Linked DNA regions of Saccharomyces cerevisiae S288C. The gene in region 1 interacts genetically with each later gene. Each region holds a gene or a part of one and is shown in the gene's direction. Other genes may lie near its edges. The genes, in order: CSM3, RAD17, MEC3 and RMI1.

Region 1 (3,275 bases):
GTAACCCATTTTGGCCAAATGGCTGATTATTATTTTGATTGGTCTGGCCAAACAATCCACCAGGTTGGGACTGCGACTGGTTGTTTTGTTGTCCGAATAATCCCCCGGTTGATTGCTGTTGTTGGTTATTTTGCCCAAATATAGAATTATTTTGGGCATTACCAGACGCAAAAGTGGATGCTCCCTGCTGTTGTCCAAACAGTCCTCCTGCAGGTTTGCTTCCAAATAATCCGCCTTGTTGCTGTGGCTGGCCAAATGCGTTTGAGGAGTTTTGTTGTCCAAATAATCCGGATTGGTTCTGGCTTTGGTTATTCTGACCGAACAATCCTCCAGCGTTGGAATTTTGTTGCTGGCCAAATAACCCTCCTCCACTTTGCTGCTGATTGGTTTGCCCAAATAAGCCACCAGTGGTACCAGTGGGGTTGGTATTCATTCCGAATGCTTTTGAACCAGCAGATTGTCCAAATAGTCCACCAGAAGCAGGTTTAGCTCCAAAAAGAGCACCAGTGCCTTGCTGTTGGCCGAAAGCGCCACCATTTGCGTTAGCGTTTGATTGACCAAATATACCACCACTACCTTGTTGTGTTTGTTGTTGGGGAAAGGCACCACGATTCACCTGACCAAAGGCTCCCCCGTTACTGACATTATTCGCCCCAAATGAATTTTGCTGTTGACCAAATAATCCTCCGTTTGTATTTGAGTTCTGCTGGCCGAAAAGGCCTGTATTATTAGTGCCGTTTGTTGGGTTGTTAGTTGTATTACCAAACAATCCCCCGGAAGTGGCAGGTTTATTTGCTCCAAATGCAGAATTTCCTGAGAGGTTAGTAGAGCTTCCAAACAATCCTGTAGAGTTGGTCGCTCCAGAGCCAAAGCCACCACCACTTCCAGTTCCGGTTCCAAACATGCCTGTTGCTGGCTTTTGACCAAATAATCCTCCTGTTGTAGCAGAAGTAGTGGAGTTATTATTACCCATAATTCCAAATCCAGTATTGGTAGTTCCTTGAGGATTGTTAAAAGTAGTACCAGTGCCATTTTGACTGGTACCGAATTTTCTACCAGCTTGGTAATCTTGAAATCTCAATTCTTCAAAAGAAAAATTTCTGTATTCAGGCATACAGGTGATACTTTGGAAGACGTTGATGACACCTGTGGTTGGATCCTTCTCTTCGAATGTAGTAAAAGGTTTAATGCTTGTACCTGCAGTAGAATTGGGCACAACAGAAGCGGAACCAGCAGAAAGTGCTGTGTTATTACCCATTCCACCGAAGATCGAGCCAGAGGCATTGTTGTTCGTCAATTGACTTTGACCAAAAGGAGTACCATTTGCTGTAGTCGAGCCTGACATTCCGAAGGGAGAATTAGAAGTTTGGTTACCAAAGTTACCAAACGCAGGTGCTTGTGTTGTATTTGTTTGCTGACTGAGGCCGAAAGCAGAAGTGTTTGCTACTGGTTGTTGTTGTTGCTGTTGGCCACCAAAGGTTGATCCTGTTGAGCCAAATGGCTGTGTTGTTGCGCTGGGGAATGCGCCACGGCTAACTCCAAACATAATAATGTTTTAAAAAAGAAATCTTCGAAGCTGAATGGTGCCTCTCAGTTGCCGGGATCTCTATGCAATGCTGATAGTTTCCTTTGCGACCTTATGACACTTTATTAACTCTAAGTATAATTTAGTTTTGTTCTTTTTCTAATGAGCATGGTAAGGAAAAATGCCGGGTAATGATAATCTGCAAAAGTGACAATAATAAACTGACGCGTAACAAGATCAATGATATACTGGATTAAAATGCCATGAAAACGTGAACAGAAACTTTTATTGAGGTCATGGATCAAGATTTTGACAGTTTATTACTAGGTTTCAATGACTCCGATAGTGTCCAAAAAGACCCAACTGTACCAAATGGCTTGGATGGTTCAGTAGTTGATCCTACCATTGCGGATCCAACCGCAATTACAGCTAGAAAGAGAAGGCCTCAAGTAAAATTAACAGCCGAAAAACTACTCAGTGATAAAGGTTTACCATATGTTTTGAAAAATGCACATAAAAGGATACGAATTTCCTCAAAAAAAAACTCATATGACAACTTATCAAATATTATTCAGTTTTACCAGCTTTGGGCACATGAATTGTTTCCCAAGGCAAAATTTAAGGATTTTATGAAGATCTGTCAAACAGTAGGTAAAACAGATCCAGTTCTTAGAGAATATAGAGTCAGCCTTTTTAGGGACGAGATGGGCATGAGTTTCGATGTTGGCACACGGGAGACTGGGCAAGACCTGGAAAGACAATCACCTATGGTTGAAGAACATGTCACTTCCGCGGAAGAGAGGCCTATTGTCGCAGATAGTTTTGCGCAAGACAAAAGGAATGTAAACAATGTCGATTACGATAATGACGAAGATGACGATATCTATCACCTTTCTTATCGCAACAGAAGAGGACGAGTTTTGGACGAACGTGGGAATAATGAAACGGTACTTAACAACGTTGTGCCGCCTAAGGAAGATTTGGATGCATTATTGAAGACATTCAGGGTACAAGGGCCCGTTGGCCTTGAAGAAAATGAGAAGAAGCTCTTATTAGGATGGCTAGATGCGCATAGAAAAATGGAAAAAGGCTCTATGACTGAAGAAGACGTTCAACTGATTCAAAGTTTGGAAGAGTGGGAAATGAATGATATAGAGGGACAACATACTCATTATGATTTATTGCCAGGGGGAGATGAGTTTGGCGTAGATCAAGATGAGTTGGATGCTATGAAGGAAATGGGCTTTTAGCAATGTCATTGAAGGTAATAATCCAAACGTGCGTGTGGGCATCTATACATATAGGTTTATATATATTGTGTAAATAAAGCTTGTAGAAAGAGCCTGGTTCGAGTGTTTGATTTTTTCTTCTTGGGCGTTATTATACAATATCTACTTCAAATTATTTATCTAGGTGGTCCATAAGCGAGCCGTATTATCAGCACCGGCAGAAAACAGCCAAGCTTCCCTCGGATGCCAAATAGCATCAAGAACACCCAGACTATTGATTACTTTATGACCGGTTAGTTTCTTTAGTGGCACAATCATCGGATTTTTCATCATGTCATCATAAACAGTGGCATGGAAAACATGTATGGTACCGTCATCAGCGGCAGAGCTGAATAGAGGTAACTTTTTGTGGAAATTCACACTTCTGACGGCTTTTTCATGATATCTTAGTGTCTTGTAAGGTGTGCTAGCCAAATCCAGGTCGTGCCATAAAACTCTCTTGTCAAACGATGACGCAATTA
Region 2 (8,246 bases), on another chromosome or scaffold:
CTTTATTTACCGCAATCTGTTCTTCAGGGTTCTTTCTCTGTAGTAGCCTGTCCGTAAACTCGTTAATGGATTTTCTTTGTGATTCGTATTTTGAGTTTTTCAATAGAACCTCTCTCATTTTTACAACGTTATTCTTTACGCATGGCTGTGTCCTCGACCTACTAATATCTGCATTTAAAGCAGGAATCATGGAGTTTCTGGAACAACTTAGAAGCACGGAGGCAATTAATGTCTTCAGAAAGGTATCTTGAAATATTAAGTACTTCTCAGATAAAGGGTTGATTTCTCTTTTCATCACTTTGGTCATAATCAATCTGGGATGAGTCTTATAAAGACTTATTGGAAAGCTATTTTCCTGCAAGCTTTTACATGTCCTTCTAGCAGCTAATTCTTCAGTCGGCCTTTTCAATGCAGTGTAGAAGTCTTTCTTTTCTTGAGTCAAATCCACGGTTTTATTTCTCCAGTAACGAATCTCCTTTTTCAGTCTCGCTATGGTGGCATCCTTATTCGGATTCCTAGGGGCCGCCTGTCTGGCGACATCATATATACAAAAGAGGTTTTGTTTAGTACATCTGCCACATCTAGGTTTTTCCTGGTCACACTTCGTCTTTGCTTTTCTACAAGCTTGGCAAACAAAAGAAAGTCTATTCCTTTTTTTACCTACTCTATTCATTGCCGGTGATGATTCGTCTGTAAAGTACATCTTTTATCGAAGAAATTTTGTTCAGCAAGATCAGAAAGTGATATTTCATCCGCTCTATACGTTTCAGTAGATTTTCTTTATCTGACCTCTATTAAGTCCTAACAACGCTTTATGTTTTCTTCGTTGGAGATACTCCGGAGATTATATTTAGTTCCGAGATGGTCTTACAACCTTTCAAATTCCAAAATCAGAAGAAATTTTGCAGGAAGGCAAATCCTACCGGACGTATTAGTCACGATTTTATTTATTCACATATACAGATATTCACAGTTCGAATTTTGTTTACAAAGGTCAATCTTATTGATCTGCGGCTTTTGAATACCGTTGCATTCAAGAACGGCTTTCTTCATTTCGTGCAGTTCCGGGACCGATTCGTAAACCGCATCATCATCCATTTCACCCTTCAAAAAGGATCGTCTTTGATCATCAATAGGTTTGTATCTTGTATCAGGGTGTTTGTAGTATATTGCCATCGTAAAGCATATCAATATGAAAATGAAGAGATACAAAGAAAACGCTGCATTTAGAAAAAAGAAAATTAGTCCCATAAAAGAAGACACAGCTATGGGCTGCTGAAATAAGTTACTGAAAAATAAGAAAAAAAATGCGTTCACTAAATTCAGTGAATGGATACTAATATTGAAGAAGTTGGTTGTTTTATCCATGTAAGGTTGCATCCAGCACAAAAGGATGAGATAGATAGCTTCATTCAAAAAGATACCAATAGATTGAGATTTTCCGTGCGCTTGTAGAGAACCCACTAGTATAGACCTAATAAGCATGTGTGCAGAGGTCGCCATTAACCACCAGACTTTTGTAGACTTAAATTGAGAGGAAAGAAAGCCGAACTTGTTTAAGAATTTCGAGCTACTGAAGAGTAAATAGCTTGGCTGGCCAAATATTTTCTTAGACTTGATCATCTTCCTCCATATTCTTACGCTTGCGGATGATAACAAGACTGTAATCAAAATGAAAACAACGATTGCCTCCACTAAGGTAGCTGCTGAGTCTGTTTGAGTGAACTCCCAAAGTGCTAAAAGAGATATCTCAGAATAAATTATGAACACCGCTCGATATAGTGTCCCCTGTAAAAGTGCACTCCAATGTGTGTGGAAGTGTAAATATCTAATTGTCTTAACTTTAAACTTCTGAAGTACTTTCAAAAATGTTTTGAAGATAATAAACGCCAATATTATCATACAAATGAATATGATAAAGAAGGAAAATCCCGTTAAAAAGAAATTTGATATCTCAATTCCAGCTTTGTAAGACACCCTTTTAATACCTCTTAATACTAAAATTTTTGACAGATAGTCATTTGAATTTCTCAAATTTGAAGTGTATAATAAATCATTTTTTTGGGAACTTTCAATACCATTTAAATTACTTGACGCTGATATGATTTTACTGTTCAAGGATCTTTTTTGAACACTGATCGATAAAACTTCTTTATTGCGGTATACAACGGTGGGGGACCCAGATGTTGCGACAACATACCAGTCAAATAACCGCTGCATAAAATTTATCCTTATTATTCCCATTGACCATTGGAAATTTTGAGTCCAAGCGGCGACAATAGGCGGTAAAAATGATACACTAATCATAGCTAAAATAGCCAAATTTTGGAAATATAAAAGTAGCGATATTGAATAAGACGCCAGTCTTGTTGAAGTAACCGTATAACCTTGCAAAGAATAAACCACTGAAAACATAATTCCGGAAATTGTCAATATCACTAGATTCCACGATAAATACTCTGTTTGGACTGTTCTACCATTTGATAACATCACTTGTACACATGCTAGAGGTTTGGTAAATTCTTTATCAATAGTGGAGTATGCTGTCACCACAATATATGCGTCTAAGTCAGGTATATTATATGTTATGCTTGGTATTTGGCTAGCTACCGCGGCCTCAACATAATAACTTCCCATGAGTTCTATATTTCCCGGCTTCAACGGACATAATAAATTATCTTGGATTCCACATAGATCAAAAACTTTGGTATAAACATTGAGACCATATGCAATCAATTCTGCCTTGATGGTTATGTTTTCGCTCATAATTGTTTGTGCTTCAACATTAAAGAATAGAGTATTATTTCTCGGGAAAAAAGCAGCTTCGAAATACGATGCAGAAAACTGTGAGTCTTTAGCACAAGTCAACAGAGCCGAAGTCCTTAGATATTCTTTAGTATATGCATCAAATGGTACTGGGAATAGAGTCGATGCGTTGTTCAGTAGTGTAAAAGAGTTAGAAACCTGGAAAGTAGAGCTGTTAATGGAAATAGCGTGTATTTGTCGGAAGATTGCTAGCAAAACAAAAATCCGAGATAAAGAGAAGACTTTAATGGGAAGCATACTTATTCTCTTTACATCTATAAATCAGAGAGGTTAAATATTATTTAAAATAGCATTACGACTTTGCTTCATCATCCTTCCAAAATATTGACACTGCATCATTTTTTAAATGTGTCAGTAATTCGGGCACAAAAATATAAATGGACCGCCATGAACTAAAGCTGTCGTCGATATGGATCGCTCCATAGCAGCATTATAAAAATTAAAAATGCATCAATACCATGCTACAGTAATAACAAAATACAGCATGGATTACCACTACATATTCATCATGTCATGCATTATAGTTGTAACATATGCTGAACACCCATTCATCACGTGTAATTGGACATCCGTGGAGTTCCAAAAGGAGTATAAACGCAAATAGTAAAGCTAAGATATAAGTAGTGTCTAAGTAAATGACTTCTTTGTAAGCGTACAGCTAAAGTTTACCGATGAGTTACGATAAGAAGGCAGATGTCACATCCTTAGATGAAGATTTGAGACAACTAAGAGAAAGCAAATTTTCACCGGAAGCAATTCAAAATATCAAAATATGGGTATATAAATCTGTCCTAAAAGAGATAGCTCCTCCTGGAGACTTATTGGAATGCTTGAAAGATGGAACAGTCCTATGTAAGCTGGCAAATATTTTATATGAAGCAGACACAGGAGAAGCTAACCATATTAGTTGGAAGAGCTCTAAAATGCCATTTGTTCAAATGGATCAAATTTCCCAATTTTTATCATTTTCGAGAAAATATGGTGTGCCTGAAGATGAACTGTTTCAGACAATTGATCTTTTTGAGAAAAAGGATCCTGCCATTGTTTTCCAAACGTTGAAGTCACTATCTCGTTACGCCAACAAAAAACATACAGATAGATTTCCAGTTCTAGGACCACAACTGTCAACAAAGAAGCCAAGACCCCCGGTTAAGTCTAAACCAAAACATCTACAAGATGGTACTGGATGGAGCACTTTTGAATACGGTTATATGAAAGGTGCATCTCAGGCTACTGAAGGAGTGGTGTTAGGACAACGGAGAGATATAGTTTAGAGAATTATTATTAACACTTTCTCTGGCAGAAATTGATAAATAAACATTTAAGAACCCTATATACGCAACCAAAGTTCCTTTGATATATTTTAGTTTTCCATCAAAGTTTTCCTACATAAACACTAAGGTGGCTAGAGACGCGTAACAAAAGTTAACGTTACCGGTAAAAATGTGATTATACAAATCAATCTCACAGAACGGTGTGGAAACAAAGTAGTTGAAGGATTTCAACTATGCGAATCAACAGTGAGCTAGCGAACAAGTTTTCTGCCTCAACGGTGCACTTAGAACATATCACAACTGCTTTAAGTTGTTTAACACCTTTTGGTTCTAAAGACGATGTGCTTATATTCATTGATGCTGATGGGCTGTCATTTGTCAGGGAGAATAATCATGTGATAAAAATCCAACTACTGTTATCTCGGGAGCTATTTATGTCTTATTCGTATAGAAATGAAACTGAGGATCACATGAAACTTTGTGTAAAAATAAATCATATCTTAGATAGCGTTAGCGTGATGAACAGGAATTCGGATGACATTGTTGAGTGTACTTTATCTTATGATGGACATGGATCACCATTTGTACTAATATTTGAAGACTCGTTCATTTCTGAGAGAGTGGAGTACTCTACCTACTTAATTAAGGATTTTGATACTAATGGACTAGAACTCGATAGAGAAAGGATAAGCTTTGAGGCAATTATTAAGGGCGAAGCCCTTCATTCAGCCTTAAAGGATCTAAAAGAAATCGGATGCAAAGAGTGCTATGTATATGCAAAGACCGAGGCGAATGATGAGAATGTATTTGCCCTGATATCTAAATCTCAGCTAGGATTTTCTAAAATAAAATTACCCAGTAACAGATCCATACTAGAGAAGTTACAAGTATTTGACGGAGATTCCACAACAGTAATAGATGGTTTTGCTGTAATTGGGTTCTTCGATTTCACCTCGTTTGATAAAATCAGAAAGAGTACTAAAATTGCAAGCAAAGTCCTTTTCAGGATGGATGTTCATGGCGTATTGAGTGTAAATATTCTAAGTCAAACAGACGATGTCATTATCACTGATACTACAAGACCTTCAAATAATCGACCAGGTAGTATTCGCCAACTGCAGCTACCCAAGGATTATCCCGGTATAGTAATTGAGGTTTGCATGCTAGAAAAAGAATCCATAGATGAGGCAGCACAGACAGAAATAGAACTCCTGATGGAGACTAATGAACTTGGCAATCGTAATAGTTTTAAAAAATCAACTATAAGAAAAAGATATGGTACAGATAAAGGCAATGAAACTTCAAATGACAACTTGCTGCAATTGAATGGGAAAAAAATTAAACTACCATCTGAAGAAGAAAACAATAAAAACAGGGAAAGTGAGGATGAAGAGAATCACTGCAAGTATCCAACAAAGGATATTCCTATATTTTTTTAAGTCAATATCCAGCATCGCAGAAAACGCAGAACTTCATTCAGCATTTGGTAATTTTATAACATATAACTTACAATTAAATAAAAGTTTAACTATATATTATTATGTGATCTAACTCTAGAAAAAGTACTAATGAACATCACACCGTTTATTGTTGGGAGAAGTGTTCCATGATCATGGACAATTCATCAGTTTCAGCACCCCAGTTCTTGACAACAACAACGGAGGCACCGACAACCTTTCTGGCGTTACCTTCACGGTCGATCTTACCCAAACCAGCCCATTCACCTAATTGCTTAGCATCAGCAACCTTGATCAATGGAACCTTGTTTTCTGGGTCGTTAGCCAAACCTTCAACCAACTTGATAATGTTAGCTTCAGTAACAGAGCTGACCAAAACAACCAATAAAGCTTCACCTCTGGTTAAAGCCTTGGTAGATTCTCTCAAACCTCTAGCTAGACCATCGTGAACCAAAGCGGTTCTCAAAACAACCTTCAAAGCATCTTCGATAGTAACTTCGGCAGTTTGTTCAACAACAGTTTCTTCTTGAACTTCAACGACTTCTTCAACGTCAGACATTTTTCTTCTCAATAATATATAGTCTAGTTTTTGACTTCTTCGACAGTAAGATAATTAAACTGCTCCGTGAAGAGTTTTGAATTGGGAAAAACAATTGAACAAGGAACACTTATAGACCTGTTGTGATAAGAGATGACATAACTTTTATAATATGTCCTGCGGAGAATTCGATGAAATTTTGCAAATTGTAAGTTTGCTTGAAAGTTTGCTTGCGGGTAAGGTATTCTGAAAAAAATAAAATGATTCCACAATGGAAATGTGAAGATGTTGTAAACAAATCAAATGTACGGATGCACAATGGTAAACAGTACTGGATTTCTTTTTATATCACCGTTGAGCCGAAACAAACCCCGAAATAACCATTTAATATGCCAAGATGTACAAACCTCGTCTTTGCTTATTCAACTGCTACATTCGCAATACCTCAATAACGAGGTGCGTATATACATGAAGCAGAATTTTTTTTTACATATATATACTATTCATTAACTTGTAAGAAGACATTAATCACCGTTTCCTGAAGGGAAAAAAATACTAAATAGAATATGTCTTGCTCGTCATATCTCCATTTCACCTACAAATTCACCGGAACCTTCCATATTGACATCGTCGTCATCGTCTATGGCATTTTCAAATTGTTCCGCATTAGCAACGCCGCTAGCCTGTATTTCATCCTCATCTTCAAAATCTAAATCGAAGAAGTCATCATCACTGCCAACTATCTTTTCGTATAAAACTTTGGCTGCGGTGACTACTTCATCATACGATATCTCAGCAGAAGGCATGGTTGTATATATGACGCCATTATCACTCGCACCGGGAATATACTTTTTTTCCAAATCTTGATTTACATCAAAGAAGGAGGAGTTAACTACACCAAAGGGTGGCGTGGATGTGTATTGGGTATAATAAAGTTTAAATAAGAACTGTAATCTTTCCCTAGGAACATACTCCTTAAAAGATTGGCCTAACTTAACTGAATTTACTATTGTATGACCATTTCCCGTTAGTTGAACAATTTCTTCGTCGTTCTCTAAACCTGAAGACGATTCCCTTAGCAGGGCCATTTCCATAGCTTCTAGAGCGGCATCAATGTCCATTTCAGCACGTGGGCCTTGTTCTGTGGTCGATAAATACCATACAATAGTTCCTTCTGGACAAATTTCGCTGCCAGCACCGAGAATAAAGGCTTGTACTACTTCCTTATTACCAGATTTCAAAGAGCCAGGAGGGAAGACTACCATGGCGGCCGATTCACCCTCATTGAACCATTCAGTACAGGGGTTTTCAACTATACAGGTCAAACGATGAACCTGGTACTGTTGTTGAGGGACATGCTTACTGTCTTTAGGTGCTTGCGTAGGCGATATTATCACTTTCTCTGAAACTTCAACTTTGGATCCATCTTGGAATGTGGCCACTTTAGTTGTAGGGTTGAAGGATACCAATTTCTCATTGAGTTTGTAAGTAGCGCCACCTACAGCGGCAGATCTACAAAACCCTTGCGACAATTCTCCTGGCCCACCATACTTGGAGCATAGTGCAGGGAATGGTCCATAAACATCGAAACTAGTTAGATATCGACGAATCCTTTGTAAAGCTTCTGGTACTTTTACGTTGAGATCATAACATAACCCAATTGAGAAGATTAATTCGAAGACTTGTGGTTTTTCTAATTTAAACTTTTCCCCTAAAAAATCAGACATGGTCCTCTCCGCGTAGGGTTGCCATATTTCCGTTTGTGCTTCCCAGTTGAGTACGAATTTGATAAATTTCATTAAGTTCCTCTTTGTCATTAGTGGTAGGTTTTGATCCGTGAATATTTCTTGCTTTGTATTTGTTAGTTTTTCGAAACAATCATTTTCATAAGTATGGAAATTAGATAAAGATTGGAATTCTAAATACTGGTGAACTCTTGATTTGATTAAGATGGATAATAAATCAGATTTTGCAAATAGGATCTTCGGGGAAAGATCAATACCGAAATCTCTTGAAGAATATTTACCACTACCGATTAGCGTGGATACATACAACTTCGCATTTTTATAGCAACTTACTGAGCCTTCATTAACTTCATTTACCCATCTTTTGATTTGGTCTACAGTTAGTGTGGCTGAAGTGTCACCGTAA
Region 3 (8,405 bases), on another chromosome or scaffold:
AAAAATGGACATAGAAAAAACCTTCATAAATGAAACAGACCATTCATTACTCGTGCGGAACCAGTAAACACAACACGCCAACTTTCGAACTTTTGCCCAACATAAGATGTCCTCTCAAGCATTCACTTCAGTACATCCGAATGCGGCAACATCTGATGTGAATGTTACCATTGACACTTTCGTTGCTAAGTTAAAAAGAAGACAAGTGCAAGGTTCATACGCCATCGCCTTGGAAACTTTACAACTGTTAATGCGATTTATCTCTGCAGCTCGTTGGAACCATGTTAATGACCTTATTGAACAAATCAGAGATTTAGGTAATAGTCTAGAAAAAGCTCATCCTACTGCTTTCAGTTGCGGTAACGTAATTAGAAGAATACTGGCTGTTTTGAGGGATGAAGTAGAAGAAGACACTATGAGCACAACTGTCACATCCACATCCGTTGCTGAACCTTTGATTTCCTCTATGTTTAATTTATTACAGAAACCGGAGCAACCTCATCAGAATAGAAAAAATAGTTCAGGGAGCTCTAGTATGAAAACCAAGACTGATTACCGTCAAGTAGCCATTCAGGGTATCAAGGATCTTATAGATGAGATAAAAAACATTGATGAAGGTATTCAGCAAATTGCTATTGATTTGATTCACGATCATGAGATTTTATTAACTCCCACACCTGATTCAAAAACCGTATTAAAATTTCTGATTACTGCTCGCGAACGTAGTAATAGAACATTTACGGTTTTAGTTACAGAGGGGTTCCCTAATAACACCAAGAATGCACATGAGTTTGCCAAAAAATTAGCACAGCACAACATAGAAACCCTAGTAGTCCCAGACTCAGCTGTTTTTGCTTTAATGTCCCGTGTGGGTAAGGTTATTATCGGCACTAAAGCCGTTTTTGTCAATGGGGGGACTATCTCGTCAAATTCAGGTGTATCATCCGTTTGTGAATGCGCCCGAGAATTTAGAACCCCTGTATTTGCTGTTGCAGGTTTGTATAAGCTTTCTCCTCTATATCCGTTCGACGTAGAGAAGTTTGTCGAATTTGGTGGGTCCCAACGTATATTACCTAGAATGGATCCAAGAAAAAGATTAGATACAGTTAATCAAATTACCGATTATGTTCCGCCTGAAAATATTGATATCTACATTACAAACGTCGGTGGGTTCAATCCAAGTTTTATATATCGTATTGCGTGGGATAATTACAAGCAAATTGATGTGCATTTGGATAAAAATAAGGCGTGATGATGTGTCTTTTGTACATTACTCATGAAAATAAATAAAAATCTTGTAGATCAAAACAATTTTTTTATTATTAATTATTAGTATATAATCAGAATATTTACGTATCCTTGAATATGTTAAAAGACTAATACATAAAGAGCATCTTAGCATTAACTTTTTACTTCTCTACAAAGTCTGGCAATTTGACTCATTTTTTTTTTTTAGTTGAGTGTCTCCTCGTAATGCCATCTTGTCGCTTTTGCATAATAGAAAAACAGGAAAACATTGAAAAAATAAAAAAATAAGGGAAATATGTATCGTATACAAAAATACAGCTAAAGCTTGAACTGAAGTAGAAAATGATACCAAAGCTTATAGTTTTTGGAGGCAATGGATTTTTAGGTAAAAGAATTTGTCAAGAAGCAGTGACTTCGGGCTACCAAGTCGTTTCTGTGTCAAGGTCCGGTAAAGCTCCTCATAGCAATGAATTAAATGATAAGCAATGGATGCAGGAGGTCCAATGGACCGCTGCTGACATTTTTAAGCCTGATTCTTACCATGAATTATTGAATAATGCTACTAACGTAGTTCATTCTTTGGGAATCCTCCTAGAAAATGAAAATTATAAGCAAACTCTATCCAAATCCCCTACATATGATTCAAAATCACGCCTTCTATCTTTTGGTGCAGGTCCAAATCCTTTAAAAAAAAGCAGTCCTTATTTTACTTATGAAATGATGAATAAGCAAAGTGCTATTATTTTGGCAGATACATTTAAACAAAAAATCCTAAAGAAAAGCAAAAAGGAGCAAGAAAAAGCAAATCAAAGATCTTTTACGTATATTTCCGCCGATAAAGGTTTCCCATTGATTCCTAGTGGCTATATTAATTCGAAAAGAGAGGCGGAGATTGAACTAGAAAAAATGCAGAGATATTTCAGGCCTATTATTGTGAGACCCGGTTTTATGTTCGATGAGCACAGAAATGCAATTGGACCACGGTCTTTTATTCATACTGCACTTGAACTACTTTACTGCGGTAACAAATTTCTATTGAGAAATAAGCTGCAGCTTTTGAACGACTTGATTAGGCCAACAGTATCCACTCAGCAGGTAAGCAAATCCGTCCTGAAAAATATCGAAAACCCAGATTTTAAAGGGGTAGTTACACTTGAGGAAATACTTAAAGCATAATGATTATGCCATTATTATATTTATTAATCTATTTTTCTCTTTTATTTACAAATGAAAAGTACTTAACTATATACAGCTTGGTATAATTTTAAAATGGTAATAACAATAATATGCAATGCTAACGGCGCAAAAAAGCCTGATATGCCTCTTGGTTGATTTGAATATTACCTACAGTTTTCATATGCTTTTTACCCTCTTTCTGTTTCGCCAAAAGTTTTTTCCTTCGTGAGACATCAGAAGCATGCAGCTTTTGGAGAACATCTTTTCTTCTTGCCTTAATTGTTTCTCTAGCTATTATCTTGTTATTAGCTCGGGCCTGTATAACGACCTCATATAATTGTGATTTAACATACTCTTTAAACTTCTTCACCCATTCTCTACCCACTCTCTCTACTTCCGATTTATGAAGTACTCTTGACAAGGCATCAATCGCATTTCCATTAACCAAGAGTTGCAGTTTTACAACATCAGAAATTCTATAGCCAGCATCCTCATAATCTAAAGAGGCAAATCCTCTGGACACCGATTTTAATTTACCAAAAAAGTCATCAACTAGATGCGATAGCGGAAGGTAATATTTTAACATCACTTGTCCATTGGTGTTTAGGTATGTTATATCAATTTGTTCTCCTCTATTACTATCGCATAAGCGTATGACACTACCTAAATATTCCTGGGGCAATGTCATAACTGCCTCTATAAACGGTTCATGGAAAGCAGCAACGTTCACCCTCTTTGTTGCTCCGTCTGGAAACTCATCCGGATTTGTTATAAGCTTTTTCTTACCATCGGTAAACTCCACCAAATAAGGAACTGTGGGTTGAGTAATGATCAATTTCGAACCATACTCTTTTTCTAGTCGTTCACGAAAAACAGATGCATGTAAAGATCCTAAAAAGCCCAATCTCCAACCTTGACCCAAAGCATTGGAGGTCTCACGTTCCAAAGTAACTGACCTATCGTTGAGGACAAGTCTACTCATATCATCATCCATGGCTTTGAATTCAATCCCATCAGCCGGGAAAGCACCCACAAATACCATGGGTTTTTGTTCTTCAAATCCGGGAAGTACTTCCGTTTCATTTACTTTACTTAAATGCATTATAGTATCTCCAATTTTTGCTTCTTTAGAATCCTTCATTCCCAGCACTAGATAGCCAACCTGTCCTGTCTTTAGCGTACCTGTAGAGGTTCTGTCAGGATACATGATTCCAATATCTTTGACTTCGTATTTTTCTTTTGTCTGAGCACAAATAACCTTGTCATTTTTACGTACAGAACCATCAACAATATTCACTAGAAGAACCGCTCCTAAGTATGCGTCGTACCAAGAATCCACTAATAATGCTCTGAAGGGTTTATCAGGCCTCCCCGTTGGTGGTGGTATACGATCAATTATAGCCGGTAGTAACAGTTCCTCTACATTTAATCCTGTTTTAGCACTTACTCCGATTATATCTTCCTCGGGGAGCTCAAAGTTATTCACTATCTGATCCTTTACCTGTTTAACATCTGTAAAATTTAGATCAATTTTGTTTATTACTGGAATTAATTTCAATCCTAAACTGAAGGCTAAATAAAAATTAGCAACCGTCTGTGCTTGTATGCCTTGTGATGCATCAACCAAAAGAATTGCTCCCCCACAAGACGCATATGACCGTGAAACTTCACCTCTGAAGTCCACATGTCCTGGCGTGTCAATTAAATGTAAAAGATAGTTTTTTCCGGTCCTCTTATCTTTATAAAACATCGAACATGTTTGCGCCTTTATAGTAATACCTCTTTCTCTTTCGACTTCCAATTTATCCAAAACTTGTTTATTTCTCGCATTGGGATCGATGACATGCGTTATTTCCAGCAGTCTGTCACTTAAGGTTGACTTCCCATGGTCAACATGGGCAACTATAGAGAAATTTCTGTAATTTTCGAGAGGTATTTGCTCGATCTGTGCTTGTAACTTCTGTGCAGGGGTAGTCGTATGGTTATATCGTAAGAAATATGCGTGTCGTTTATAACACCGTATATGTCTCACTGGCCTAATTCTAAATTTCAGCATTTTTATGTGCAACTAGTTTCCCATATTCATGGCTCTTTTTCAATGGTTGCGGCTACAAATATAGGCGAGTTATACTTGCCCTCGTCTATTATTCAACTTTTTTATTTACATCAAAATAGCAACATAAACATACGGAGATGATGAGAGAAAAAAGAAGACAAAAGGTGTGTCTTAATTCAGTTAAATGAAATTAAAATTGATAGTAAATGGTTGTGAAGCACCTGATGATTATAAATTGCTAAGAACTACTATCAATACAGTTGCTTCGCTACGAAAGACGGCTATCTTAAGATTTAATAGTGAAAGATTGACAATAATATCCACTCCAAAATCATCACTCAACAGCAGTAACAACGGTACAATATTACGAGGGGATACTGGTCAGCTTTGGTGTACCATTCCTCATGATGTATTCAGATTATATACAGTTATATCAGCTCGCGAGCTCAATACAATAACAATGGAGTGTAATTGTGATTCTTTATTGAGTGTGTTTAAAAGGTATGATCGAGTAATGAACCAAGGATCTTCCTCTAATATGACTATAAAACTACAGTCAATGCCAGAATGGAATACAAATAACGGAACACTTTCAGGAGGAACAGCAGGAGGCGTAGATACAACCTCAAAACCGAACCCCATTTGTGCTCTAGGTATAACATTCGAAGAAATTGTACATACTAGCGGCCCAAATGACGCTATAGTTATGAATGGGGGAGTGGATGAGCACAATGGTTTACCAACCACAGTAGGCACAGGAAATCTACTCGCAAGCAATAAGGTTATCATGCATTCGTTCAAAGTACCTGTCAAACTATTATTCCGAGCACAAGATACGCGAATACAAGAGCCAATGATTAACTATATTCAACTGATGATGTACAAGCTGCCACCAATATCGGGCGAGTTTGGCTCCGCCTTCCACGGGTTTATTAGACGTGTTGAACGGTACAGTAATGTCAACCACATTCATTTAATGGGAGTCAAAAAAAAGGAGCATGGAAATGAAGGTGATGATGTAGAACTTAAGATAATTGTGAATGAATTAGATTGGCATTTGGAAATATGCTGGAATGGACCCTTAGACTCTGTGATACAACGCCAAGAAGGGCTCACTGACAATCCTTCCCAAAACCAGCACATCGACACAGACGGCCGGCAGGAGGAAGGATCTCTTCCGATTATCGAAGCGGATAAACCGATGTCTTCACTATATACCAATACTAGAGATCGAGAGATGGAAGAAAATATCCGCTACGATGAAGATTTATTAAGAATTGAGGATAGCTCGATCGCAGATACGCGGGGAAACATTTACACAGCTGATACTAGCGGTGATACTGAATTTAATGACATATCCGTTATGGTGGAAAAGGCTGAACAGGAAAGTTCGTCCACACATGAAGTAATCATCCGTTGCAAAGATTGGAAGGTGTGTTCCAAGTTATACGCTGCATTTGAAGAAGTTGTTTTGGCGATTTCTCACGACGAATCCTGCGTATTCCACTGTTCGTTGGATCGTGGTAGCTTGGAAGATAGCGAAGATGTGGAAAAACCAAGGGAAAGAGGACAAATCATATATTATATAGCAAGATCGAAGGGCTTGTAAACCCTACAGCGGTACATTTCTTTGCTACGTTGCTAAGGAAACTCTTTAAATCTGACATGGCTGAGAACTGCAGAGTTGCAGAGTTGCAGACTATCACATCCGTACATATGTATAAAAAAATCCGTGCTTTACATACTAACTGCTTTTCTTTTTTCCGTTCGAAAAAAAAAAATGTCGTGAGGTTGTCGGAAACCTCAGAAAAAATAGATAGAACAAAACAGCCTTACGAACGGTATGTTGCATTTTAAAGGCTACATGAACTGCACATTAAATTTGCCACTGTAATAATCTTCCATATCCCCATACAAAAACTACGCAAATATGGTACGTAATGCCTCATTAGGATTTTAAAATATGAAAAAAATGGACGTTTCAGCGAGGAATGAATAACAAGAAATAGCTAATTTGAATATATTACTGGTGTTTCATATCTATATATACCGCAGAAAAAGAAATAAAACGCAATATATCTTTAAACTGGCTCCACCCTGAGAATATGATAGGAAACTTTTTAAATTTGAGTTCTGTTACATCAAAAACGTAATTGCTTGACACAGATTTTTCGAGGGCAACAGCGTGGACTTAACATAATGTCGAGTTTAATAACAACATTTTTTGACGGAGAGTTAAAAAGGCTTTGAGAAAATAGCAGAGTGAAGTTTATTTTTAGCATCCTTGCTGATACGCCAAATAATTCAAAAATTCACTATACTAACATGGTCATTAATTTTTAATATTAATATTATTTATTTAGGCTAAAGTTCATGGTTCTCTAGCTCGTGCTGGTAAAGTCAAGTCTCAAACACCAAAGGTTGAAAAAACCGAAAAGCCAAAGAAGCCTAAGGGTCGTGCTTACAAAAGATTATTGTACACCAGAAGATTCGTTAACGTTACCTTGGTTAACGGTAAGAGAAGAATGAACCCAGGTCCATCCGTCCAATAAGAAAATTAACAGTTGTGGAAAAGGAGCTTAAAAGTAACAAGAAACAAAATAGCAGTCATGCCATCTTTACTTCAAGATAGTTTTTGACTTGTATTTGTATTTCCGTTATGCGTTTTTTACTTTAAATATAAAGCAGTATTGAAATTATGTAAGTAGTGTTAACTATAAATTATTTCTTTAGGACTTTAACTTCGCAAAATTATGCTATTCATATTATCGATTTACTTCTTTGCTGTCTTGGTGTGATGCTTTTATTAATAAGGAGGATCTTGCCGTACCTAGGGTTGGCAAACGTTTTTCTAGTTGTTTTTGAATGGGCGCTTCATAATGTGGCAATGAAAAAAAAAAAACTAGAAAAAAACTGCAATGATCTTGACGATGACATGAAGCCTCCTTTTAACAAAATCCATTGAGGTCAACAAGCATCACCAGAGACGCCTATTATAAACTTTATAAGAGAAATACCAGTTATACAATAATGTCTACTGGAAGCAGTGATAGAAAGGATGACGTCAAATTATTGGAACTGCTGAATTCTATAGATGAACAGTTTTTAGTGCCATACAAAAAGCCGGAAGACTTGCGTAAAATCTCCTCTACTACCAAACTACAAGGTTCCACCCCAACTAAGGAACTAGACAAATTAGCCTCTGTATTGAAGGCACATTGCACAAAAATAGGTATTGTTTGCAAGCCAGGAACTTTTGATAACAATCATAAAGTTGTGATTACCGAAATCCAAAATTTTAGTAGGCCATTATTCTACTTACTAAGTTTATTCCCTTTGTTTTACAATAACAAGGATTGCCCCAAATACTTTACAGACCAACTGGATGAAAGTACGCTACAATTGCTCGATGGCTTGAGAGATTTCATTGCCGAATTACAAGAAAGATTGAAAAATGACGAAAATGCATCTCTAGACAAAGAAAGGTTAACCTCAGTTGGTAAAATATTCAATGCGTGCGATTCTCTCTCTAATTGTTCCAAGGCTGGACCTTATGGGATCCTAGCAAACATCTTAAAAGATAATGTGGCCATAATGGACGATACAATGAATGAAATAAAAGAGTGGCTTGAGGAACCCGATTTTTCAGCAAACTCGGACGATATATTTTTGGATTTTGAGGATTCAGAATCCGAATCTGATTCACAGAAAGAGGAATTTGACCAGGAAAAGGTCTATGAAAATATAAAGTTGTTTTTCGATGGGTTTACGAGGAAGATAAAGCTAATCAAATTACTTGTATCAACTTTCAGGAAAACTCTGGTGTCAAAAGATTTTACTCCTAAGAGGAATCAAGCAGAAACTTTAGACAGTATACATACATATCTGAAGGAAATACAGTTACTTTTGGATGAAGTGGTATCCA
Region 4 (7,473 bases), on another chromosome or scaffold:
TGCGTACGATGGTCTAGCCATGGGTGTACACGCAGAAAAGTGTGCCCGTGATTGGGATATTACTAGAGAACAACAAGACAATTTTGCCATCGAATCCTACCAAAAATCTCAAAAATCTCAAAAGGAAGGTAAATTCGACAATGAAATTGTACCTGTTACCATTAAGGGATTTAGAGGTAAGCCTGATACTCAAGTCACGAAGGACGAGGAACCTGCTAGATTACACGTTGAAAAATTGAGATCTGCAAGGACTGTTTTCCAAAAAGAAAACGGTACTGTTACTGCCGCTAACGCTTCTCCAATCAACGATGGTGCTGCAGCCGTCATCTTGGTTTCCGAAAAAGTTTTGAAGGAAAAGAATTTGAAGCCTTTGGCTATTATCAAAGGTTGGGGTGAGGCCGCTCATCAACCAGCTGATTTTACATGGGCTCCATCTCTTGCAGTTCCAAAGGCTTTGAAACATGCTGGCATCGAAGACATCAATTCTGTTGATTACTTTGAATTCAATGAAGCCTTTTCGGTTGTCGGTTTGGTGAACACTAAGATTTTGAAGCTAGACCCATCTAAGGTTAATGTATATGGTGGTGCTGTTGCTCTAGGTCACCCATTGGGTTGTTCTGGTGCTAGAGTGGTTGTTACACTGCTATCCATCTTACAGCAAGAAGGAGGTAAGATCGGTGTTGCCGCCATTTGTAATGGTGGTGGTGGTGCTTCCTCTATTGTCATTGAAAAGATATGATTACGTTCTGCGATTTTCTCATGATCTTTTTCATAAAATACATAAATATATAAATGGCTTTATGTATAACAGGCATAATTTAAAGTTTTATTTGCGATTCATCGTTTTTCAGGTACTCAAACGCTGAGGTGTGCCTTTTGACTTACTTTTCCGCCTTGGCAAGCTGGCCGGGTGATACTTGCACAAGTTCCACTAATTACTGACATTTGTGGTATTAACTCGTTTGACTGCTCTACAATTGTAGGATGTTAATCAATGTCTTGGCTGCCTTCATTCTCTTCAGGCTCTATTAATTTTAACCGTTATAAGTTCCTTTTCTCCCTTGGAAGCAAACATCAACTGCCTTAAAATCTGGTGGCGAGGAAAGAGGAAATGGCATGTACTAATGATGGTCCTAATAAATATCCCGAAATTGTGAGTGTTAAGCACCTGTTCCAACATTCGGGATCCAAGCATGAATTTAGTGCTGGTAAACGATTTTCAAAATCCATTGGTAAAATATTCAAACGAAACTCTGCTTTGAAAACTTCTAGAACTGAAACGGCAAATCATAAAATGGAATTGAAAAAAAGAGAGGGTGTTACCTTATTGCCACCTGTCCCAGAATCATTATTACATAAACTCAATTCTTGGTTGGAAACTTTTTCTTCCACCAAGAACATGAAAATCGAAGAAAACAAAATTGTTATTAATGAAAAAGAGATTCGGGATTCAGTCTCTTACTACCCTGATAAGAATGGAGGAAGTGCTGTATTTTGTTACTTGCCCGACCTTGTGCTATATTATAAGCCGCCTATAAAAGTCACAGGCAAGCAATGTCCAATAAAGAGAAGTCCTTGGGAATCGATGGAAATCCAATATCAAAAGTTTATGTACCCCTTAGAAAGGTTGGAAAGACAGTTTGAGGAAGTTCCATTTAGGCCCTGGTATTTTGCAATGCGATTAAAGGAACTTTACAGATGCTGTGAAAGGTCTTTTACTAACGCGGCAAATAGAGGAAAGGCAAGGTTATTGCGGGGGAAGCAAAGGACGAAAAAATCGTATCATAAGACTGTCAACCTGGTATCAGCGAAGATTTCCACCCATTCAAATGCGCCGTCGCCGGGCTGAGAAACAAAAAAAGTGACTAAGTTCTGTCATTCTATCATTATTGTAATTAGTTATGTAGGACATATATATCCATAGTGATCTCCTTTTGATCAAAGAAGACACTGAAAAGTCGTAAGTTCGTAAAAAAAGTATGAAAATCGTTCCAGCCATTGCTTATAGCCATCCTAGTAGGATACTAGAAAAAAAACAAACCTCAAAGATAAAAAGAAAAGGTGAAGCTATTACCGAATTAGAACATAAGATAATACAGTGAGTATAAAGGTGAGACCTGCTCAATAATCTGGTAACCATTTCTCGTTTGGACCGTCTGTTAAAGTAGAAAAATTCATTTGTAAGCATAATAGCCTATTTCTTAATGTATCTTGTTGGAATTTGCAATCTTTGGAAGCACTAACGTCATCGATATCAGATTGGTAAGGTGTACTGTCCATTGAGGAAGTTAAAAAGGTACTATTATTGTGGTTGTTAGTGTATTCATACTTTTCCATACTTCCGTCACTATTATACGTTGATGGAATATCACTCTCCGGTTCAGCATCTTCCTCTTCTTGCTGCTGTTGTGCTTGTTCCTGGTTTTGTATTTGTTCTTGTTTTTGTTCCTGTTCTTGTTCTTGGACTTGCTGTTGTTGTTGTTGCTGTTGTTGTTGTTGTTCTTGGTCTGCAGAAAAATGTGATAAATCGCTCAAAAATAGGTTTTCATTCCTTATAATATGCGTCATGTAAACTTCGCTCGATAGGATTGGAACTTGAGACAAGGGCCCTTCCCTGGTGAAAGAAGTAAGAGAGGAAACTTCGGACATCAAAGTTTTCATGTCTATTCTTGTGTATGGATTTAGTTGTAGAATTTTCGTCAACACTGTGAACAGCTCATCTGATATAGGAAGGATTTTCTTCAGGACATTATTATCGTTAGCAAAATGTTGAAATGTGTTATCCTCCTTCTGGTGAGCTTTTAACCATGGGTTTCTTATGCAAGTTAAATTAATTAGGATGATGCCTAGAGACCATATATCTCCTGTATCCGTAGGGAGGCTCGAACAGCATTCGTCGACGTGTATGCCGTTGGTGGTGGTATTCAAACAATACAATATTCTTTCTGGAGCCATATAATATGAACTGCCAACGCACACATTTGGAGCTAGATATTTAGATTTAGTGGAAAGCCCGAAATCGCAAAGATAAGCGTTGTCATTGCGATCCAGTAGGACATTTTCAGGTTTGATATCACAATGATATATACCGAGACGATGACAGTGATCTAATGCGGAGCAAAGCTGCAGAAAAACTTTCTTAATCAAAATACCATGATTTACAAAATGCTTATCGTCAACTATCGAGGTGAAAAGGTCCCTGTCGTAATAATCCATCACTATAAAAGTGGCAATAGAAGATTCTAAAACTTGGTGAATCTTCACGATATTGCCGTGAGACTGCACTCTTAGTTGGAAGGCAATCTCCCTGTAGTGTGGTAGCCTATTTAGTTCATTCTCAGTCAACTGTAATATCGAGTCTAGATCAACGGAAGGTAAGAACAATTTTTTTTGGAAACTTTTGAAAAAATGATACAGTTGCGTTTGCAGAAGAGTGGTTCGCGCCACTTGAGAGTTGTTGTTCAAACCGTTCTTATTATAAAACTCATCCATCGAGGAGGATTTGAAGACCGTTTTCACTGCATATTCACGGCTCGTCAGTATATCCACCACATGGAACACTAGTCCATACGCACCCGACCCTATTTGAGCCGTTATTCTGAAATTGTTCAGCAAGCAGTCTGACAGCATTTGTACACAAAATTTCTTGTCTGTGTTCTTATTTGATGTTTTCTTTTAAAGAGTTTTGTTTCCGCTAGGGCGATTTAAGTCAATAAGTAAATTTAACAATTTACTAAATATATTTTGTATAATATATAAGAATATACGCCTTAAGAATGTCCTCTCATGCGAAAAAGGTAGCAAGAGCATAAAAAGGAAAAAGAAAACGCTATAGTCATTTGTAGGCTCTTGTCTTTCTTCGTCTTCGTCCCGTGAGTGCGGACTCAGAAAACACCGCAATGATGTGGGTCCGGAATATCTATTGCACAGTTTTAGTAGGGTCACCGATATCGTTAAGGTTTGTGGTAGGAACAGAAGGTACTGCCGGCCCTGTATACTGCCCTTTTGTTCCGACCATTTCTTTTTTGCATTTGTCCCAAGATTCTCTCTCCCCACAAAATCTGCTCAAGTATCTGTCCAACGCGCTTTCTTCGGCTGATAGATAAGTTCCGATTTCGTGGGAAGCAAAAAAAAAAAAAAAAAGAAAAAAAGAGTCTGTCCGAGAAATGTCCCGGAAAACGTGGGTGTGCGGTGAGGAGATTGTACTTCCATCCCACATTCCTCGTGTTTGATTGGCTGCAAGCCACTTGATGCCTAGAAAAGAAACACCGCGTGGTGCATCTATGTCCATATCACGCGCGCTAAAACAGCATGTAGAGAGCGCGAGGGCGGCGTACTGCACCATTCTAATAGGAAATCCGGGATGAATGCCCTCTCCGGAAATACCTCCACTAAGCCTCAATGGAAAGTTGTTCCGCTCACGCGAACAGGTTTTTCCGGGGAGTCGAGAACTACAGTGACGTAAATACGACGACATCGCTAGAGCCAGCAGAAGCCTCCATACATTCAGACTAATTAGTTGACGGGCTTGAGCCAACTAGACATATTATGTAGGCACATATGCTCCAACCAATACATATGTGTACATAGAGTACAGCTCTTCCCAGCGCATCCGCTATCGTCCTCTTGACAGGTCCGGCTATTTATTATCCGCGGCATCCGCGGCCCAGCGCACAATAATAGATTACTTTGCAATGCAAGCGGTCTTGGCTGTTTGCTCTGAGGGTCCATCTTCGTTTATTTCTTTATTTACTAAATTAATTATGATACTGCACTCAGGACGGGCCAAGAAAGCATGTAGCGTGAAGAGAAACTAATTATTAAGAAAAAAGAAAAAAAAAAAAAAAAAAAAAAAGAAAAGGAAAAAGGAAAAAGATAAACCAATCATACAATCTTTACAGAAAGGGAGTACTGAGAAGAAGGCCAAAATACTGCAGAGCATACATACTACCGAGTGGATGGAATGTCTTTTTCATCTATCTTATCACAGGATATCACAGATGACATTACACCACCAGCGTATTCCGCCACCTTGGGGTCGAGAGAACAGATTGTTTTCAGAGCTTACCAAAATGAACCTTGGTTGGCTGGTACTGCTTCGAATCTTATCTTAGATAAAAAACTTGTTATTGTAGACAGAGAACTGTTGTTCCAGGTGTTGATGGTAGAGAATATCACCAAATCCAAGCTAACACAGATCGATGATATAAAAACCAAGCTGGATCCGAAAAAACAGAAAGTGGATAGACTACGATCAGGCGCGCAAGGAAATGGCGCTAAGAAGTACGAGGTCATCACTCAAGTGGACATGGAAGATGACGGGAATGTGGCGGATAACAACTGCGCCAAGGAAAATAATAGCAACAATAATAGCAGTGCCGCCAAGAATAAAGCAGTGTTTAAATTGACACTACAAAGTAAGTCGGGCGACGTTTTTTTTGCTATCAACTCGACTCCAATATCTTGGAGCTCTTGCATGCTGGGTTCTAAAATTGTGATACTGCCGGGAACTGTGTTCAATAGGGGCGTTTTCATATTGAAGGACTCACAAGTCATTTTTCTCGGCGGCATTAATAGAGTTTGGAATGAAAATAGAGATCAGAAATTTTGTGATTATTTGGAATCTAAATTACAACGTGACAAACAACTTGTAAATGGCGGCTCCAAGAAAAGGAAAGCCAATGATTAGCATATGCCTCTTCTTCTTAGAAGGGCGTTCTGCCCGTTATGTATACGTTAAATATTACATTATTTTCGCATTTTTGTATTTATATTCAGTGAAATATTAGGCTTGGTCGAGTAACATTTCCCATAGCTCGTCGGTTTCTTTGAAGTCGTGATGAACAATTGAGACAAGACAGTAGTCTTTATGCACTAGTCTTAGAAGAATATTGGCTGGGGTGTTCCTTGGAAATAACTTGGCCCACTCGGACCAGATACTAAACGCTTCATCTCTCCATGCCTTGAATGACTCTTCTTCAATGATTGTAGTCTGTTTGACCGGACTGTTGGGAAAAACACCCCATGTTACAACGCTAGAGCTGTGCGGGTCTAGGTTCGTTTCAAATGAACCAGATGAATCGCCCGCGTAATAACTGAATTTCCGACGCCCGTAATGGTCTAGCTTGGGTTTCAAAGTTGTTTCCCATTGCTGTCTATGAATAAACATTTCTACGAATGCCTTCTGATACAACCTCCCTTTCGCGGGCCCCCAGCCGAATATTTTATCACTACTCAATGTAGCATTTGTGGCAGGTTGCGATGCCAAAGTCAAATATCCGCGATAGTTTAGTTGGATTAGTTCTTCTTGTATTAACGCCGTTTCAGCTGATAAACCCAGGTCAGACCAGGGAATCGCATCCGTTGAACCTTCCAAATATTTTATAAAAATATCTTTTAAATCGCCAATTGTCTTTGGTATACCCCATAGTTCAAGCGCTTTGCTTTTGCTTACCTTGATGGATGGCCCATAACCGTCTATTTCACCATATGCGGGAGACCTGGAGTCACCAAATCTACCATTGGGGAACTCATCCCAAGTGGCATCACGACCCAAAGTTCCGTGACCTTTAGAAATAGATATTAAAGCCTTTTTAGATGGCATGGAACCATTCTCATTATTATAGCGTAAGCCTTTTTCAGTGACGATAGCCCTATTGAAAATCAACTTGGCCGAATCAAGACTTGAATGCCTTCTCCTTTTCCGGTTTGCTACAGTTTCTTCATTCGAATCATCCAACACAATATCCCCGTCAGCATCTTCTATTGGCACATTTTCTATGCTTCCTATTTCGCCACTGGTTTCATCTTCTCCCTCTTCTTCGCTAGATTCATTTACGATATGGGATAAGACGGGAGATTGCGAGACAATTTGAGCAATAGCCTTTTCCAAATTTAATGTATAGAAATGAAACCCTTTAATTCTACCAGATGTTCTTTGATATATTTCCTGAATCAATTCGATAAGAATGTCCACACCAATGGACTTCACGGCATTATCATCCGATTGGATTTCTGGGGGGAACCTACTCAGTATTGCAGGTGGAATAGATGCATGTGATAACTTTGCTGCTCTGTGGAAAAGCAGATAGGAGTTAATAGGCATCAACCCAGGGAAAAGGGGCAAATCTTGCGAAATCCGTTCCCGAAATAGCATTTCAAAAGTTAAGAATTTTTCAACGTCGTAAAACAGTTGTGTTATCACAAAATCGGCCCCAGCTTCAACTTTTTCTTTTAAATATACCAAATCCTTCAATGGGTCTTGCTCGTGACCTTCTGCTTCACCTTCACAATGACCTTCTGGATATGCTGCAACACCGACGCAGAACTTGTCTCCGTAGCTTTGCTTGATATAACGAACTAAATCAACCGCATATTTAAAAGGTGATTCGTTCGATTGAGAATCTAGCCAATCTTCCCCAATAGGTGGGTCACCTCGAAGAGCCAAAATATTCCTGATTCCTGCATTATAAC

What was found.
Region 2: mutations in CSM3 (region 1) and RAD17 together harm fitness more than expected from each alone (negative genetic interaction), as found in Saccharomyces cerevisiae (6 studies listed by BioGRID, with this or other methods).
Region 3: mutations in CSM3 (region 1) and MEC3 together harm fitness more than expected from each alone (negative genetic interaction), as found in Saccharomyces cerevisiae (7 studies listed by BioGRID, with this or other methods).
Region 4: mutations in CSM3 (region 1) and RMI1 together harm fitness more than expected from each alone (negative genetic interaction), as found in Saccharomyces cerevisiae (5 studies listed by BioGRID, with this or other methods).

Annotation. Positions count from the first base shown.
Region 1 is NC_001145.3:365,160-368,434, forward strand, and holds CSM3 (Csm3p), read left to right. Parts: upstream 1-1,821; coding exon 1,822-2,775; downstream 2,776-3,275. Other genes in the region: FG-nucleoporin NUP116, read right to left, coding at 1-1,546; ribosome biogenesis protein ERB1, read right to left, coding at 2,935-3,275. UniProt on the Saccharomyces cerevisiae protein: Forms a fork protection complex (FPC) with TOF1 which is required for chromosome segregation during meiosis and DNA damage repair. FPC coordinates leading and lagging strand synthesis and moves with the replication fork.
Region 2 is NC_001147.6:1,022,510-1,030,755, forward strand, and holds RAD17 (Rad17p), read left to right. Parts: upstream 1-4,333; coding exon 4,334-5,539; downstream 5,540-8,246. Other genes in the region: oleate-activated transcription factor PIP2, read right to left, coding at 1-703; YOR365C (putative flavin adenine dinucleotide transporter), read right to left, coding at 952-3,063; SCP1 (Scp1p), read left to right, coding at 3,498-4,100; 40S ribosomal protein eS12 RPS12, read right to left, coding at 5,685-6,116; GTPase-activating protein MRS6, read right to left, coding at 6,674-8,246. UniProt on the Saccharomyces cerevisiae protein: Component of the checkpoint clamp complex involved in the surveillance mechanism that allows the DNA repair pathways to act to restore the integrity of the DNA prior to DNA synthesis or separation of the replicated chromosomes.
Region 3 is NC_001144.5:711,164-719,568, reverse strand, and holds MEC3 (Mec3p), read left to right. Parts: upstream 1-4,664; coding exon 4,665-6,089; downstream 6,090-8,405. Other genes in the region: GCD7 (translation initiation factor eIF2B subunit beta), read left to right, coding at 107-1,252; ubiquinone biosynthesis protein COQ11, read left to right, coding at 1,591-2,424; GTPase GUF1, read right to left, coding at 2,543-4,480; 40S ribosomal protein eS30 RPS30A, read left to right, coding at 6,411-6,413, 6,844-7,032; YLR287C (uncharacterized protein), read left to right, coding at 7,511-8,405. UniProt on the Saccharomyces cerevisiae protein: Component of the checkpoint clamp complex involved in the surveillance mechanism that allows the DNA repair pathways to act to restore the integrity of the DNA prior to DNA synthesis or separation of the replicated chromosomes.
Region 4 is NC_001148.4:498,554-506,026, forward strand, and holds RMI1 (Rmi1p), read left to right. Parts: upstream 1-4,963; coding exon 4,964-5,689; downstream 5,690-7,473. Other genes in the region: ERG10 (acetyl-CoA C-acetyltransferase), read left to right, coding at 1-739; SMA1 (Sma1p), read left to right, coding at 1,112-1,849; putative serine/threonine protein kinase SKS1, read right to left, coding at 2,122-3,630; methylenetetrahydrofolate reductase (NAD(P)H) MET12, read right to left, coding at 5,786-7,473. UniProt on the Saccharomyces cerevisiae protein: Structure-specific DNA-binding protein with a preference for cruciform structures. Also binds single-stranded DNA (ssDNA). Functions together with SGS1 and TOP3 to maintain genome integrity. Essential for proper meiotic cell division.